Coturnix japonica: one gene and its partners. The protein of the gene in region 1 purifies or fractionates together with the protein of each later gene. This does not show direct contact. Links are inferred from orthologs where the notes say so. Each region holds a gene or a part of one and is shown on either strand. Other genes may lie near its edges.

Evidence for each region.
Region 2: the proteins of ETAA1 (region 1) and RPA2 purify together in Homo sapiens (affinity purification with western blotting; 4 studies listed by BioGRID, with this or other methods). This does not show direct contact. The link is inferred for Coturnix japonica from reciprocal best matches to the Homo sapiens genes ETAA1 and RPA2.
Region 3: the proteins of ETAA1 (region 1) and ATR purify together in Homo sapiens (affinity purification with western blotting; 3 studies listed by BioGRID, with this or other methods). This does not show direct contact. The link is inferred for Coturnix japonica from reciprocal best matches to the Homo sapiens genes ETAA1 and ATR.

The regions. Positions count from the first base shown.
Region 1 is NC_029518.1:640,689-646,594, forward strand, and holds the start of ETAA1 (ewing's tumor-associated antigen 1), read right to left. Parts: upstream 3,410-5,906; 5' UTR 3,338-3,409; coding exon 3,115-3,337; intron 2,387-3,114; coding exon 2,249-2,386; intron 1,696-2,248; coding exon 1,619-1,695; intron 81-1,618; coding exon 1-80. UniProt on the Homo sapiens protein: Replication stress response protein that accumulates at DNA damage sites and promotes replication fork progression and integrity.
Region 2 is NC_029538.1:1,358,678-1,364,583, forward strand, and holds RPA2 (replication protein A 32 kDa subunit), read right to left. Parts: upstream 3,464-5,906; 5' UTR 3,352-3,463; coding exon 3,336-3,351; intron 3,249-3,335; coding exon 3,154-3,248; intron 2,966-3,153; coding exon 2,864-2,965; intron 2,731-2,863; coding exon 2,617-2,730; intron 2,184-2,616; coding exon 2,109-2,183; intron 1,767-2,108; coding exon 1,653-1,766; intron 1,339-1,652; coding exon 1,231-1,338; intron 1,053-1,230; coding exon 958-1,052; intron 844-957; coding exon 759-843; 3' UTR 450-758; downstream 1-449. Other genes in the region: SMPDL3B (acid sphingomyelinase-like phosphodiesterase 3b), read left to right, coding at 3,611-3,882, 4,816-4,913, 5,452-5,595, 5,791-5,906. UniProt on the Homo sapiens protein: As part of the heterotrimeric replication protein A complex (RPA/RP-A), binds and stabilizes single-stranded DNA intermediates that form during DNA replication or upon DNA stress.
Region 3 is NC_029524.1:8,882,214-8,888,119, forward strand, and holds the start of ATR (serine/threonine-protein kinase ATR), read right to left. Parts: upstream 3,796-5,906; 5' UTR 3,544-3,795; coding exon 3,485-3,543; intron 2,210-3,484; coding exon 2,118-2,209; intron 772-2,117; coding exon 628-771; intron 389-627; coding exon 1-388. UniProt on the Homo sapiens protein: Serine/threonine protein kinase which activates checkpoint signaling upon genotoxic stresses such as ionizing radiation (IR), ultraviolet light (UV), or DNA replication stalling, thereby acting as a DNA damage sensor.

The DNA of each region.
Region 1 (5,906 bases):
ACTCCAGGTGTGCAGGGAATGGCATCGTCACCAATCCATGTCCCTAGAAGGGAGCCTTCATTACAGGCTGCTTTTTCATCCTGGATGATTAGATTTATAATGCTTAGCAACTTGATTTCAGATAAAGATTTGACTAAACACACACCTTCCATTAGTTAAAGTTACTAAACCAATTAAATAGGGTCAAATCTATTGAAAGCTAAGGATAGGAACTAAACCAATACAAGCTAATCAAGAATACTCCAACAATGTCAACTGACAGTTGTATCAGTTTAATTGTATCAGTTTAAAGCAGGAAGTTCAATTAAAACAATTGAATTTTAGTTTGGTGCTCAAATCTAACACTATATTCACATCCCCAATAGGGTTTAGGAATAATCAGCAATATTCACACTACAAGCTGTGATTTAGTTTATTTACTTTAGTGCACAGGTAAGGAGCTACTTGAGATACCCTTATCTTTATGCACTTACAGCAGCATTAACAGATCAGTGAATTTGAAACATCATATTTTTGCATGGCCCCTGGAAAAATAAATCTGACTTCTTCCATTACAACTCTTACGTTGAAGGAGCATTAAAACAGAAATAAAATATGTTTAGAAACTGAATGAGCTTGTTTTACAGCTTCAACATTCAGGCTGGGCTCTTAATTCCTAAATCTAAGAGATACACGACTGCAGCAGTACAGTGAGTACAGGGCTAGAGCCAAACACTGAATGCAAGAAATTACTGCATGTAAGCCAACAAAGGTAAGTTGAACTTCACTGACTACCGGGGTAGTTCTGAGTATGTTTTATTTTTCAAGATAAAAGAACACAAGCAATAGATATTAGCAAACCCAGTATGATGCTATTTATAGTCATTATAGGACTATAATCATTTAAAAGGAAGTGACATCCCTTATCGGTGATTTTCTAATTCTGCTTTCTCACAAATATTCAATACAGCAAATACATTTAAATGGCTCTGTCAAATAAGTTGGCATTTTTGGCAAGCCACATTCTACAGACTGTGTTAGGAGTGACAAGTTCTCTTCTTACATCTAGTAAAATGCAAACAATAAGACTCCTATTAAAAGACTATGTTGTTTTCATTTTGCAGGCTGTAGATGTCAGTTTCAGAGCCAGAAAGAGATGTCAAGAGTGTGGACCTTAGGGTAAGAAATGCAAATTACTGAGAATAATGATGCAGCTTTACTGTGTTTATATCCTTGTGCAGTCTCTCTTAGATATCTGAGTCAGATGTTGCCAAGTAAATCCAGTATGTGAAAAAATTATACCTTTTAATGTACAAGTGATTAAGGATAAGTAAACCACAATAAATCTCCTAAGATCAGGGGCAATAAGCTGCATTCTGCAAGTAGAAATTCCTAAATGCAGCTGCAACTAGTCCACTTTCTTCATACATCTTGTTTTTTTAAGAGTCAAATGTTGAGCTTATGATTATAGTTCAACCCAGTTTTATAAGCATGTTTCTAGTTATCTGCATACTTGCTTCTTGCCATGTATGTTAGACTACTGTAACTAAAAGAGAGCTTTCAGTAAAACTGAATAATGTAGCACTGTTCTGTTTCAGCACTGCACATACAGAACATTGTTTTAGAAAGTAACCATTACCTGAGGAGCAATCCTATTAACAATTTCTGAAATCTCTACTGCACATCTACTGGTGGGCTGTTTGGTTTTTCCTTTGCCTAAGAAAATAATAATTAAAAAAACTTTAAAAAATGGCAAAACGTTACAATTTATAAAATTCATTATTGCTCAAATTACACTCGATGAAGTCAGAACTTGATATAACACTATGATGAGGAATTTATGGGATTTTAATAAAAGTAAAATCAAACCGATCACCTCCGGACTCACCAGGTACTGTCATGATAAACAAGAAGGGGCATTTTTCCAATAAATGTAGTGACTTTTGTGACAGAATCATTTGAGTCGGAAGGGATCTTAAAGGGTCATGTAGTCCAACCCCCTGCAATAAACAGGGAAATCAACAGCACCATCAGGTGCTCAGAGTCCAGTCCAGCCTTAGCTTGAATGTCTCCAGGGATGGGGCAGCCTCCACTCTTACTGTAAAAACCTTCCTTATGTCCAGTCTGAATCACCCACATGTTAGTCTGAAACTATTTCCCCTTGTTCTATCACAAGAGACCCTGCTGAAGAATCTGCCCCCTTCTTCTAATACACTGCAATTGCATTCCCTTGGCGGGCCCCCTGAAGTCTGAATTTTGTTAATATTACCTAGTCCATGTGCAATTGGTGAATGAGGATCCCAAAAGATTTCTTGCTGTATATCAGTGTCATTAACCGGTGAGCTGAAGGTTGGTATTCTGGATTTCCTACTCAGTGATCTCTTTGGAGTTTTGTGTAAACATGGCTCTGTGTAAACAGAAAGGTGATCCTTATTAAACAACAGCAAACACAAAGGTGAACAAACTCAGAATCTAGGAATCTGAGGAACTCAGAACCAGGGTGAGGCACAGAGAAGATGCTTTAGGAAGAATCAAAACAAAGCTCACTGTCATCGAGGTTCTTTATACACAGGATAGGTTCTTTCCACTGCAGTTAATGCAGGACAAGGTGGTGACATCACACAGAGATGACAGCATGCCGACAGCTGGATGCCCAGCATCTAACATTAAGTATGAGGACTGCCTGTCTTCTTACCAGACGGAATATACTAACTTCAGTGTGTTAATGAAACCCTACACAGATCCACAGGGGAGAATGTTTTGTGCTCTGCCTCGCTCTGTGTCTCACACTCAGACTGGTCTGGATTAAAACTCCCACAGGCCCCTCAAAGGCTGTGGGCCACAACTCCCTGCACTGCGCCTCTCCAGGTGGGGCTGATAACAAGGACACAGCTGCGCACAACAGCTCCCAGCCGTCTCAGCTGCTCGCTCTGCCTTTCAAGCACGGAACCGCCGCGTGAGCCTGCATAAGTTCTAGGATATGCCATTCCTAACGCGAGGAGCGCCCAGTGAGCCGCTTTACGCTGCCGGGCCTCTCCTCAGGGGTCTGTTCTCCTCAGGGAGCTGCTCGCCGGGCACCTGCAGCCCCTTCCCCGCGCACCCGGGCGGGCAGAGCGGGGTCCGCTCCCGCCGTACCTGCCGCACCGCGCACCGCCGCCTCCCGACACGGCGACGGCCCGGGCGCCACCCTCACGAGCGGGCCGCGGCCCACACCGCCCTCCGCGCCGCCGCCGGCCGCCTCTTCCTCCGCGGGGCACTCCGCTGGCCGCCACCGCCGGCCGACCCTGTCCTCGGCGCCGCTCCGCCCCCGCGGGGCCGTGAGCCTGCGGCAGGGCTCCCTCCGCCGGCTACCGGGCATGGCAAGCGCTACGGAAGCACCGCGTCCACACCGACGCCGCCATTTTGCCGGGGAGCCCGCCGGGATAACGCCGATTGGCCGCCGCCGCACCCGGCCGGGCCGCCATTGGCCCCGCAGCGAGAGGGCGGGTCGACGGGCGAGGCTGGGAAGTGCGGCGGGACGCCGCGATGGGCTGAGCTCGGCCCCGGGCCCGCCTCGTGCGCGGCGGGTGCTGCCATCCTGCCTCGTGCTTCCCGGCTCTGTGCACACTCTGCACCTCGAGAGGGAACGGCCCAGAGCCAGGCAGCAGTGAGTTCAGCCCTGCGAGGAAACTGGGGCTGCCAAACAGGCTGCCAGAAACCAGATTTGGTTGGTAAGGAATGAACGTGAGGTTCCCCAGGGGCTGTGATGTTACATCGCTATTTAGAAATGCAAGCACGTGTATGTATTATATCATAAGGTGGATGTTTCCTCCAGAGCCCGTTGAATGTAAATGTATAAACATATCCACTAAGCATATAGGTCAGGGAGGGAACTGCTTTGTATTACTTGCCTGCCTCTTTTTTGTTTTACCCATTTGGAGCGCTTTGGGCTCACACTTCATTTATAAGCAATGGGTTCTGGTCAGCAGTATGAGGAGTTTTAAAGTCACAAAACACCAGCTCCCTGCAATGGGAAACCTCTTTCCACCCGAGGCCTCAGGCAAACAATATGGTTTTTTTCTCTTCTTTGTCCTTGTGGGCGTAATTAATGCCAGTGGAAGACTTCTTAACAAGGAAAAAATGAAGTAGTATGTATTAAACCGAGGTGTTACACGCAGAGCTAAACTATCACAGTTAATCACAGAAAGGAAGTTTTGACTTCTTAGTAATCATGTTGTACCCATCAGATGTAAATCAGAGGCCAGGCTGAAAAAGGAGATGTAAAATTAGGCTTCAAAATCCATTGCTGGATGTGAATGTGATTACTGCCTTTTACTCATACCAGCATGATAGAGCCTTGCATAGGTATGAAGTATGGTAATGGTATGCATAGCATGTTTCATCACTGGTTGGCAATATGGTAATTAAAAGCTGTGATATACAACACTGGTACAGAGTTGGCTTACCTGGCACATATGTCGTAATGGTGCACCTTAAATTACTTGGCTCTGTTGTTTTCAGGTAGAATGGATGCTGAGAGGAGACCAAAATCTGCACCATACAGAAAAGTTCAACAGGTACGTGATGCCATAAAAGCTGCTTTCTTAGTGTGTATTTATTTCATTGCAGCTTAAGAACTTAGCTTGGAGCTGATGCTATTTATTGAGTTAAGAAATCTAGAGGTGGAAGCCTGTGATGTTGAAGGGTTTCTCTGCAGAGCTGTAGCCTCAAGGAGGAGGGAGTTTACACTCCCTTGTCATGGCACGAGCGGCTGGATCAATGGCTAATTGTGAGCAGGCTGTGTTCCAGGAACTTGCTGCAAACTCCTGGTGCTGCAGTTGTGAGTCCTACTTTCACATCGAGAGGGATGAATAATGGAGGAGAGGGAATGAATAATAAAGTTACTTCTGTTCTCAATAGTTCTGTCAAGTGCCTGAGAACTTTTTTTACTGTGTTTTATGAAGGAAGTTCTGCAAAGGAATGAAATACATGTGGAAGATATGAGAAATTCCGCAAGAAATACTGATCAGTGTAATTAGAATACTGTAAATAAGAGTGAAAAAACGCTTCTCTCTAAAATCCTTTGAGCACAGAGCTTTAAAGCGAGCAATTTTTCTGTGCTGGGAAAAGCATACAGCATTAGTGAGATCTTACAAAGTGTGTCATTCTTTGAGTTCATGTAAGTAGCAGAGAAAAGTGACTTTCTTATGGTTCAGCGCTCGTGTATTCTAGAAATGGGGGGAAAAAAGAAAGGAAATAATTATAGTGATTTCAGTGAAAATACCAAATTTGTCAGAAAATAGAAGCTATTCTGAGTAATTAATTCAATTTGACAAATAGTGTCTTTTTTTTTCAAGGATGTTTTTAAGTGCCTTGTGACGTTTTCAAAGTGAACTATCTTTATTACTTCTCCAGTCTATCTTTCCACGTCTTTTTTTCTTTATATCTATATAAAGAAATATATGTGTGTGTGTGTGTGTGCAATTTGAGCACTTGAAACCAGGTGACAACAAAAGTTTTTGAGCCATCTGTTCCTTGGGCAGGTTGCTTTAAAAAGTGGGTAAAGAACTTGCAACTCAGTACAGATACATAGCATTTTAAACATCAAGTGTTTTCTCCTAGGGAAGGAACAGTTAGAGGTTATGTGGTGTTCCTAAGGATAAATAGGTCACAGTCTCTCCTCTGCTTCTGTAGTTAGACTTCTGGCAAGGCAGGTATCAAGGAAAGCCACAGGCTTTCTAACCTGTCAGCATGTCTGTTTCTTTGGTTGCGTACAAAATATAAAAGCAAATGTCTACCAAAGGCAGAGGTGTCTGAGTTTATAGCATGACTTCACTCGGTCTGCAGTTCTGCAGACATCTTCAACAAATTTCAGTGGTCCTGAGATCCACAGCCTCTGTCCACTCTTCCTTGTATGGTGCTGACTGCTCTGACCCTTGTATTTCTGC
Region 2 (5,906 bases), on another chromosome or scaffold:
CAGCTTTCAGTTCTGCATTTTCTACTACAGGAAATCAAGTGAGAACAGACACAGTGCAGGAGCCATCTTCAGGATGCTGCCTCTGTGAGCAAAGCAAGGCCAGGTAGAGAAAGAGGAAACAAAACTCATCACCTCCTCCCTGCTGCATCACCAATATCCACAATGCTCTGTCCTTTATTCCTATTGGCAGCGATGATCCTGACTCCAGGTGGATCCCAGATACAACCTGCAGCTTCTTTCATTAGAATCATTCACGTCTTCATATCCAGCTGTTCGTTCTTATCCATTCGACCCCTTGAAACAACTCATTTCAAAAGCTTAAGCAAATATTAAGTACAGACAACCCAATCCTGTGACGGCACAGGCTGTTTGTACCCACACAGCTGAGTTCTAATGGCAAATGCTTTCCTTCTTTAGCAAGGAGCAAAAGCCTCCAGAGCCACAGAAGCTTAAGACCACCCTAGTTTACATTTTAATGAAAATAGTATTCAAAAGCCATAGTAACAAGACCACCTCGTAGTACAAATATAGATTTAAGTGCACAAACTAATTATAAATCCAGTCATGATTACTGTACATTAACAGAACGTTTCTCTTGGCTACATTGTCCTTGAATTTCGGGGTGTGGGGAATCACTGAATAAGTGGGACTTGCACATGTTAGAAAGCAAACATCACCTTCCAAGTTGCAAAGCTCAGCAGGTTAATTCGAGACACCGAGAAGCACTTGGCTGGGAGCAAATCCAGGTGGAAAGAGCTTCAGTCAGCATCCGTAGACTTATAGTGATCATCATCCACAGTAGAGTAGATGTGTCCCTCGCTGCTAAGGAATTCAACTGCTTGCCTTGGAAGGAAAGAAGTCCATTAGTACCTGGCTCACATCAATGCCTTCCTCTCAACCATTTCCCACCTACGTGGGACCTGACGCCCCCAAAAACATCAGCTTCTACACACTTACTTGATTGTTGGTATGCTGACATTGTGGAGCTGAAGTTTCAGCTCTTGGAGACTCATCCCGTCTGGAGAATGGCAGTTTTTAATCAGGTTCAGCACCTGGAAGAACGTGAACCATCATCAGCACACAGCTCAGCTCTATCAGCACTGAACAGCGGGGCCAAAAAAGGATTATCAGCCTTCCAAGAATAACTGAGCTTTTATTTCTTGGTCCTACAACACAAAGCAGCAGCACCCACTGTGTCAGCTGTGCTCTGGAGAAGGTGCTGGCACCCACCTGACTCTGATGTGCTGTGAGTCCATTGACAGGCAGGCTGCCTCCACCATAGGCCCCCACGTCACTCATTCCAACAGAGGTAAACGACTGAGGTGCTCTTGATGCTGACTGCAATTACAAGAGTAATTGAATAAAAGAACTGTTGTGCACAGGCTGCTGCAAACCCAAGGCATGAAGGACATGAAGGACTTAGCCTTCTTTCAGAGGCATAATAATTAAAGATAGATTTCCAACAGAAACCAAGTAAAACTGGCCGCAATGAGAATGTCTCTCAATGGAAATCAAGACTCTCATCACACCCCATTGCAGCCCTTCAGCCTTTCCAGACCCACAACTTGCACAGTTTCCCACTGAACCCAGAGGTCCCTCCCTTTAGATCACCAGTAACAGCTGTAATGGAACCATGACCTTCAACTACACACCATAAGGTTCTTCCTGAGGATCATATGCGCATTAACAGTCTCAAGTATGTGCGTGGTGACCTCGTTCATGTTTTCCAGAGGCATGATCTTAAACGCCACCAAACTCTTCTTGTTCTTCCAGAGAAAAGACAGCAAATACCATTAACAGGGGAGCAACAGGAACATGGTTGCCATAGAACTTAAGCACTCTAGTTAGGAACAGGAGCAGCAGCGGGTGGGGAGTCCATCTGCCTTTAGTTAGCAAAGGTTTTCAACTTAAATGCCCATGTCTGGGCAAGTTTTGATCCAGCTGGCAATTGCTCTTTGCTTTAACACATACAGCATGATCTCAAGGATGACTGCTATGAGTTGACTCCTATATAACATGCTGTGATTATTGTTCCTGCTCTGCCACATCACCAACCCTTTATGCTGCTGCCCCAGCCTTGTTTGTTGTGGAGTCGCACATGACCTTACCTGAAAAGACCGAAGATGACCAGCAACTTTGACGTAAGTTCCTGGGGGCACCACGATATTCTCACTACCTGCCTCCTTACAGAGAAAGGAGAAAGCAAAGAGCTGCTGATCCATCTCTCAGTTATCATACTAAACAACTTTAGGACTGCTATCTCAATCAAACACAAACGACACCCATTCAATCAGTACAAGCAGTCAGGTAAATGTAGCTACAGATGGGAAATCCTTATTTGGATGCACTGTCGGCTTGACAGCAATCAGTGCCAGCTGTGCATTCTGGGAGCAGTCACAGGATCTTATGGCAAACCTGTAGATAAACCAACTGAGAATCTCTTTAATTACTTCCAGTTGTTCAGCTCAGTGCAGCTGTTCATCTCCAGCCACATTCACTGCCAACTGATCACTGTTACCGCAGCACCCAGCCTGGCTCTAACAGGGACATCCATTGATGCAGCTCACACACTGTTTTACCCCCATAGCAGCACCTCAGGACGGTTCCATTGCTTACATCGGTGTCAACCCACTGCCTCACGTCCATGGGTGCCGCTGTCATGTCATCCACCTTGTACAGGATGTTGGTGGGCGCCTTCTCTGCGTGTCGAACGATGCCCACCACGGTGACCTGCGGGGGGAGGGCGGTCAGGGGGCGGGGTGAGACACCAGCGGCCCATCAGAACCAGCTTAATGGGAGAGGGGTGTGGGGTTATAGGGGGTGTGGGACTATACGGGGGTGTGGGACTATAGGGGGTGCCCACCTGCGAGATCTCCACGTCATGGATACGGAACGCCTCGTCCACCTGCTCGGCTGCCAGCAGCTGCGACACGGTGCAGGGCACGATGCTCTGCGAGCGGCTGCGCTGTGGGGGGGGGTGAAGGGGGACGTGATGGGCCCCACAGCCCCACAGCCCGGGCCCCACAGCCCGGCCCCCACAGCCCCACAGCCCGGCCCCACAGCCCCACAACCCAGCCCCACAGCCCCATAGCCCAGCCCCATAGCCCAGCCCCATAACCAGCCCCATAGCCCAGCCCCATAGCCCAGCCCTACCTGCTTCTTCTCGGCCTGCCCGCCCGCTGGTGAACTGAATCCTCCCGGTGACTGCGTGTATCCCCCCGCGGGGCCGTAACCGCCATCGAAGTTACCTGTGAAGGGATGATCGGAGCCGTGAGCTGCGCAGACCCATCTCACACCCCACACCCCACATCCCCCCACACCCGCCCGTCCCGCACCGTGTCCGCCCCACATGGCGCCTCAGCACCGACTGCGGAGCCACCCGCTCCTCCAGCACCGCGTCCCGCGCCCCGCTACCAGGAGCCAATCACAGCCCTCCGTCTTCCGCCAGCTTCCGATAGCGAGATCCAATCACCTCTCTCTTTCTTCCAGCGCTAAGATCCAATCACATCCCTCCTTCTTCCGGCGGTGCTGATGCCGACGCCGCCATGTTGGTTGCTGGCGCTGCCCGGCTCTGTGCCCCGACGGGGCGGGCCGTGCAGGTGAAGGTTCAATGATGGAGGCGGTGACGGTGCGGGCGGCCGCGCTGCTGGTGCTGCTGCAGCCGGCGGTGATGGCGGGGACATTCTGGCACCTGACGGACCTACACTGGGATCCCGGTTACGAGGAGGCGCTGTCGGCCGGGCAGCGCTGCCCGTCGGGGGGATCCGGACCGGGGGGACCGTGGGGCAGCTACGAATGTGATGCGCCCTGGGCGCTGCTCAGCTCCGCTGTGAGCGCCATGAAACGGCTGCGGGCACGGCCGGACTTTGTGCTATGGACGGGGTGAGGAAACAGCACCGATTGTATTGAGTCCCTGCGGGCTGAGTCCCAAAGTGATGGCCCCTATCTATTGCTATGGGCTGTAGCTGTGTTAAATGCCCCCTATCCATTGCCGTGGGCTTTAGATGTATTAAATGCCTCCTGTCTGTTACATGGACTCAGCTTTAGCTGTGTTAAATGCCCCCTATCTATTACTATGGGCTGTAGCTGTGTTAAATGCCTTCTATCTATTGCTGTGGGCTTTAGCTGTGTTAAATGCCCCCTATCCATTGCCATAGGCTTTAGCTGCATTAAATGCCTCCTATCTATTACCATGGACTCAGCTTTAGCTGTATTAAATGCCCCCTATCTATTGCTATGGGCTGTAGCTGTGTCAAATGCCTCCTGTCTATTACCATAGACTCAGCTTTAGCTGTGTTAAATGCCCCCTATCTATTGCCGTGGGCTTTAGCTGTTAAATGCCTCCTGTCTATTGCCATGGGCTGTAGCCATGTTAAATCCTCACCTTACTTGGAGCATTCATTGGGTTCCTTTTCAATTCTGTTTCATTCTATTGAACGCAGGCAGCTTTTGCTTCCCTGCTGTTATCCAGTTCTGACCCCAGGTTGCATTATATTCTCTTGCGTGATGCCCCACTCAGCTGTAGCATCTATTAAACACGTTGGAATGGGATAAATGTGCTGAAATGGGATAAACCTGCTTCTAGTGCCCACATATAAAGTAGAACCAAACGGAGCAGCTTTCCACTTGGAGCCATTTCCTCCTGCTTCTCTGCTTCAGCCCATGTGCACAGTGCAAGTTCCTACCCCAAAGACCTTGACTTTATCTCCTATGAGATAAGGAAGAAAACAAGGCTCAGGTGCACGTTCAGTGCCTTGCTCTGCCCACGTGCCTTGATAGTCACAAGTAACGTCTATGTTCTATCTGCTGTTCCAGGGATGATACTCCTCATGTCCCTGATGAGCAGCTCGGAGAAGAGAAGGTTCTGCACATCATCGCAAACCTGACCTCGCTGATCAAACAGGTATTTCCAGGTAGGATGGGAGGGGATGGGAAGGGGAGAGAAGTGCAGGTTTGGATGGGAAGGTTTAATCTGTGTGGAGCAATGAGAGAACTGGGGAAGGCCCAGAAAAGGTCTTGACTTATTTGTCCTCTTCTCAGCTGTTGTGTGGGTTGAGGTGTGTCTGAATTGAGGTGTGTGACACACTGTTGTTAACACACTCAGGAGGGAGGAAAATAAATGTTTCTCTTATTGCTCATTTAGGTAGAATACTGCACAAGTTCTATTGAATCCATCTTAGCAGTGAGGGGAGAAGTGTTACAACAGTGAGAGCTCATTGACTGCTCTGTAAAGACGTATCTGGGGGGTGTTTTGCCCTGAGGAGCCCCATGGCATCCATAGGGAGGGGTCTTTGCAGTGTTATATCCGCACTCAGTGTGGCTGCACTGTGGGTGATACACCTTTATAATGCTGTTGAACCAGCTGTTCATTCTGAGTCATTGGAGACTCTGATGATGAGGAACCATGAACCAACTACAGACATCTCCCTTCTGCTTTTTCTCTGTTCTTAGATACTAAAGTCTTCGCAGCAATGGGAAATCACGACTTCCACCCCAAGAATCAGTTTCCAGGGAAGGAGAACAGGATCTACAACCAAACAGCAGAACTGTGGCGTTCATGGTTGAATGAAGCTTCAATTCCTCTGTTCAGAGCAGGTAATGGCGCTGCTGGTGCACATTAGCAGCACTATGGGGTTGGTTAGGAGAGCACCACAAATAGTTTTCAATGCTCTTATGCTCAGAGCAACAGTATTTACAGAGGAAAGGTCCAATTTAATGCTGTGTTTTCCAGCGTGTGATGAATTTCTTTATGCTTCAGCCTCCCCTGCTTTCCCTTCTTGCCTTTTGCAGGAGCTTTCTACAGTGAGAAGCTGCCCAGCCCAAATACCAGGGGGCGAATGATTGTTCTCAATACCAACCTGTACTATGACCAGAACAGCCAGACAGCGGGTGAGGAAGATCCCGGA
Region 3 (5,906 bases), on another chromosome or scaffold:
ACAAAATATACATCTGCAACAATATCCATCAGGACAGACAACAACAAAACTTCCAGGCATTCTACATTGGGCATACCCATCAGGTGTAATGGTGCTAATCTTAAATATCCCACATTGTCACTAGCATTGCTTGAAAATCTCTTTACAGACACTGGCCATACCAGCACATCTCCCCAGAGTTGTTTTCTTGTGTCTCTTTCATGCAGGAAGATTAAATCTTGGAAAAGTTGTAGCAAGTCTTTTGTTAATATTTCAAAGATGGAGCAATTTTTCATTTTAAACAGAAAAAGTAAAGAGCAAATGACATCAGAGATGTTCTTGTGCAGTGTGATACAGTTTGGAGTCGCAGCAATCCGGAGAAGTCTTGTTATGATCCAATTGCTAAATTCTAGGGCAATAAAAAGAAACAGTACACAGAAAATTATTAAGATGAAAGCCAAAGCCTCTTAATAAAAGAGTACCTCCTTGAGAGCAAAGTTGCTCATCGCAAAATAAATAAACACAGTGGTGAAATAAAGGAATCTAAGCTTAGCAAGCATAAAGCATTTCTTCAATATGAGACCTTGCTGATAAAGGGGCAAGAAAAAAAAAAGAAGATGAATTATATAAATACAACGTCAAGCTCACCAATGCAATTGGATTCTGTTTCCTCTTGACTTCCATCGACATTTACAAACATAAGGGGGGAAGATTTCATGATATGTTGAATAAAATCCAGCAGCATTACAGAACTTGGCTGTGAATCTGATTTCTTAACGAGTTCCAAAGCAACTTAAAACAAACAAACAAAATAATTCTGAATTAATATTACAATGAAATCAACTTCCATAATTTTGGCCGTATCTAAAACAAGGAAATCATAAATTTTCTGTATGTAATATTATGATACAGTATCAAACTTGTATAGCAAGAAGTTCTAAGTATGCCTTATTATTCAATGAAAAAGATTTTAAGGTTATTTTAAATCCTGTACAGGAAGCCAAAAAGTATGAGGAAAAATATAAAATTATTCTGCACATTATCTGCTGACACTATAACCATTAATTCAGTACTATATCTAGTTCTTATTGAAAGATAGCAGAAAGATAGCATTTTAATTTTCAATTGGTTCTCCCTAGATCTATGACCTAGGACACGAATTAAGCATTGTTTACAAAGCTGCAAGTGATAGTTCAATTGTAAGCTTTCAGAATCAAAGAATCTGAAGTGCTGCTATACTATATCTCTTAAAACAGATAACTGAATCACTTCAGTTACCCAGTTTTCACACAATTACACAAAGAGCACAAGGAGAAAACTATCTGAAATTTAGATAGGAATTAAGGAAAAGCTACATAGTAAAGATAAAATACTTGCATGCACAAAAGCAATACCTAAAATAGTCTGGATTTTCATTTTTATTCTCTCTCAGGAACAGAAAAGAATTAACAAATATCTGAACAGTAACATAACAGTACTTAAAATGATCACTTCACTAGATGAAATACATCTTAGGGGGATGGCTACATGAAAACATCCCTCAGAAACAGTGTATAATAAATATTTCTGTATATATGTAATATTATAAAATACAATTTAATATAGATATTAAAGATTACTTTACAATGAGTCTCCCTACAGTAAATGTACAAATAATTCTAAGTGCCAGACTTCTGGAGCCTATATTTCACAATTAATCAAGATACTGTTAAACTACTGCAATAATTAGAACCTTAACTTGATTACTGATGACTGATTACCACCCTAAAATTAAAAATCAAGGTTTTTACATCAAAGTGTTGCAATTCTTGAAGGCCTCGTGAATATTAAGATTTACAAGCTACATCACTCAATGAGCAATCACTTCAGATAAAAAGAATTCTGAGTGTTCATATTCACTTTATTTTTTACAATTATAAATTTGTAGTTTATAATGTATATTATTTATAGTAATAATATAGATTTGTCTTATTTCATAGCAAGTACTTAAACAAGGAAGTTATTAAGAAATGAAGATATAAACATTACTGCATTCGAGTGCTAATCTCTGTTGAAATGAGTTGTAACTTGGGTCTGTGTTGAATTACTTAAAACATACATTGGATTACCATTTGAGATACCAGACATGCAATACTCACCCACATCTACATCTGTCAGGATTCTGTCAATGAACTGGCAGAGTATTTGTCTTGGTTTCTGAACAACTGCATTGTATTCTTCCGGACTAGCACTAAAATTAAAAGCATGATATTTTACCTGTTTTAAAATACAGAATAATTCATGTCCATCTCAACAACACACCATTAAACTCCAAGATGGTTCATTTTTTTCAAGAAGTTTCCAAAAAAGAAATGCCACTGTTTTTCTTGTTTTAGTGACCAGTGTATTTCAAGCTCTTCTCTTCCCTACTTTTCCTAGGTAGAAAGCTGTATGAAATGCTGAAAGCCATTTACTTTTGTTATGCAATTATGTTTGACATACTTTACACACAATTCTGATCTATTAAGGTCACACACTACATCAAAGCAAAACAGATTTAGTGTAGAAAAATAAAATTAAAAGCCTGTTTTGCTTTTGGAATTAACAAATTATTCAGCAGACCAACAACAGGTATACAGGGTAAGAGGTGCCAGCAGCACCTCAGGTGACTGAGATGTAAGTACCTTCATTAGGTCAAAATGTCACAGTATATTCACATCTCCATGTCACCTAGTTGTCTAGCACTGAACAAAGCTGCAGTCCTGATGGTGCCATTAAAACTCCAGAGACAAACATTAATTCTCTCTACACAGATGGAGGAGATACAGAACCTGGGTGTCAAAAGCTCCTATATTGCTTTCACCTTAACCTAGAGCAGCCTCAGTCAGCTGAGCCAGACAACAGCAATTTCCCATCTGTGAGAACGTGTGTAGTACATGACTGCAGTACCTCGAAGCCTCAAGTACATACATTCATTCCATCTTATACAATGCAGATTGCAGAGCAGGGACCACGAATAGCTCCAGAGAAGCCACATTGGTAGGATGCCTAGCACACTGCTGAGTAACTTGCATGCCCATCAAGCACTATAATCAATCTATCTTTCCTAGAAACTGAACAACAGTGAACCAAAGTAGCGACTTGCAAATGTTCTACCAATACACCACAGACCAATTTTGCTTAGTGCACTGCCTTACGAAGCAAGGAATGCAAGCTTCGGCTCTTCCCCTCTCCCCCCCTTGGTATCTGTGCTGCTTCCCAGTCAGCAAAGCCCCGCTGTGAGCAGCACGGGATGTTGGACCCCGACAAACCCCATCTCTGGATTATAGAGTTTGATTCCGCAGGTCATCGCCGCTGCCCCCAGGCACGGCCCGGGATGGAGCAGTGCCCCATGCAGGCAGCGGGGCGAAGACACCACAGGAGGAAGACGCGGGTTCAGCCCCAGAGCCCTCACAGAGGTGGGGAAGAGCCCTACCCGCCCCAGAACCGGGCCTATCCCCGGAGCTCCCCGCCGGGCTGAGCCTACCTAGCGAGCTCCCGCAGCGCCGGGATCATGGAGGCCATCTCCAGGCCCTGCTCGGCCATGGCTGCGGCTTTCAACCGCGCCGCCGAGGCGGGAACTGCGGGACCCGCGGGACGGCGGCCGGCAGGGCCCAAACAACCTCCGACAAACTTCCCCGCGCCACCCCGCGGCTCTGCCGCGTTTAACCGCTTCGTCCCCAGGCTGCGCCCCGCCACCACAAGGGCTCGACCAGGCTGCCCGCGGCACCGCCACCCTCAATGCACGGATCCCTGCGGCACAGCCCACCGCAATCTGCCACAACGCGGCACCAGCCCCACACCCCGCATCCCTCAGGCGGGAGGTGCCCGGCAGGCCCCGCCCCTCGCCGCTCCATTGGCCGCCCTGGGCAGCAGGTGGTTTGTGCTGCGGGAGCCGGAGCTGTCGGTGAGTAGCGGCTCGTTCGTCTGGTGCGTAGGAGCGGCTGCCGGTCCGGTACTTATCATCGCTCCGGTACTCATCGCTCCTGACGACAGCGGCGGGGGGTGCGTGTAAGATGCTGTTATCTTTTATTTCCAGCGTTCGTTACTCTCTCTATACGGCCCTTTGAGAGCGGTTCGGTATTTGGGTTTGCGAGCCCCCGCTGTGTTCTGTGGGGCTGCGAGGAGGGCGGCCCGAGAGGACTCGGGATGAGCCCCGTCCTTCCCTGCGGGCTGTTCCCGTCCGCCGTGTGTGTGTCAGCCCAGCACTTCGATGCTTTGGGGCTGAAATTAAATCCTCTCAGAGGGTTCTGGTTCTGCTGCCAGTTTGCACTGGGACGTGGCCGAATCTTGCGTGTGAAAGGGCTTGGGAAACTGTCTGTGTGTGTCGTGGTTGTGTTTCTTTACTGATGGGTGTCTTTAGGGCACCTGTTGCTGATGAACTTTCTCTTCAATAAGTAGTTTTTAACCTGAAAAACACACGTTAGCTATTTCATAAAACTAGTCTGATGATGCTTCTAAGGCAGCTAACAAAAGGAGGATCTGTTTGGAGTGCTTTAAGAAACTTAACAGAATGTATTTGAGTTTTATCTTTGTTTTCTAATGAATATTTCCAACAAGTATTTTTGTCTTCATAAACTTCTGAGAGCTTTCTGGGGGCAGTTGGTGGCCAGGAAGCAAATGCTCCACAGCTGTGTGTGCTCTGGTAAAGGAGCTGTGGTGGCTCAGGAGGACCCGGCATGTCTGGGTTTTAGTGCTGGTTTTATTTAGAACCCAGTGTTTCCTATTCAGTTTAAATAAGAAGCCTTGTGTTGTTACCCTGAAAGTAGCTTTCTGATTAGCAGCTTCTAAGTTTGAGACAGCGGTGGTGTGAAGAAAGGTGTGACCGCTTCTTAAGGTGCAGTGCTTCTTAATTTGCCAAATTAAATCCCATTGATACCATAGCTGATAAGCTTGAGGAGGATAGTAAGGTGCCTGTTAGGTTTGTAGAGGAACCTGAGCAGGGTATGTTTCTTCAGATTTAAATCCAAAGAGACAATATGATACGCTTATTAAACTATATAGGTACATTTCTCTGTTTGTAAAGCATAATTTGGGTATGTGCGGTGCTTAATGGGAAAACTAAAAGTACATTTGTCTTCAAGTGTTCCAGGTTGTCAGTGAGATCTTACTAATAAAGGTACTGTGACAGCATTTCCATTTGTCATAGGTAGAATGCTGTATAAATTCATGGTGCAGTTTCTTTAAGCACTTACCAAAGTGGTAATTCAGGCTTCTTTCTTCCCAGTCGCAGTAAGTACTCAACAATTCCCTACAGAGAAATCTGTTTCTCATCTGTCATTGGAGTGGGTCTGAGAGGTTTTGCTGGTTCCCTGTTGCAAAGCTCCATCGGCTGCTTCCTGACAAATATTGTCAAGTTTCTCCTGACTGACTTGTTGTGTGCACTAGAGAGTCTTATAGGACCCACTGTGTTGTGCTGTAAAGATGTAAGAAGTCTTCTGGGTGCACCCCATGAGATACTCTGCTAGATCATAGCATAACCTAGCAATCTTCAACCCTCTGAACACTAAACCTTCCTCTTTGCTTTGCTGGAGCGCACAGCGAGAAACTCAAACTCTTAATTCATCTTCATTATCCCATTATTTTATGGTACTTACATTGCCTTTGCTCTCAGGAGAAGTGGAAGGTTTTTTGTTTTGTTTTTTTTCCAGCAGCAGGGTGACTCACTGCTATTGAAAGCAGTGTGCCCTTGAGACCATTCTGTGCCTTCTCTTCCAATGTAGCACTCGTGTTGGTGAAATGAGCCTTGCGTGTGCTGAGCTCGCAGCCTGCAGAACTCAGGGAATCCATGCAGGAAGGCAAAGTTAACCATTGAATTAGTGTGTGTGACAAGCTTCATGCCCAGCTGACTTCCCTTTACCCTTGGACTGCCCAGGTACTTGTTAGTTGCATGGTACTTCCACACCTGG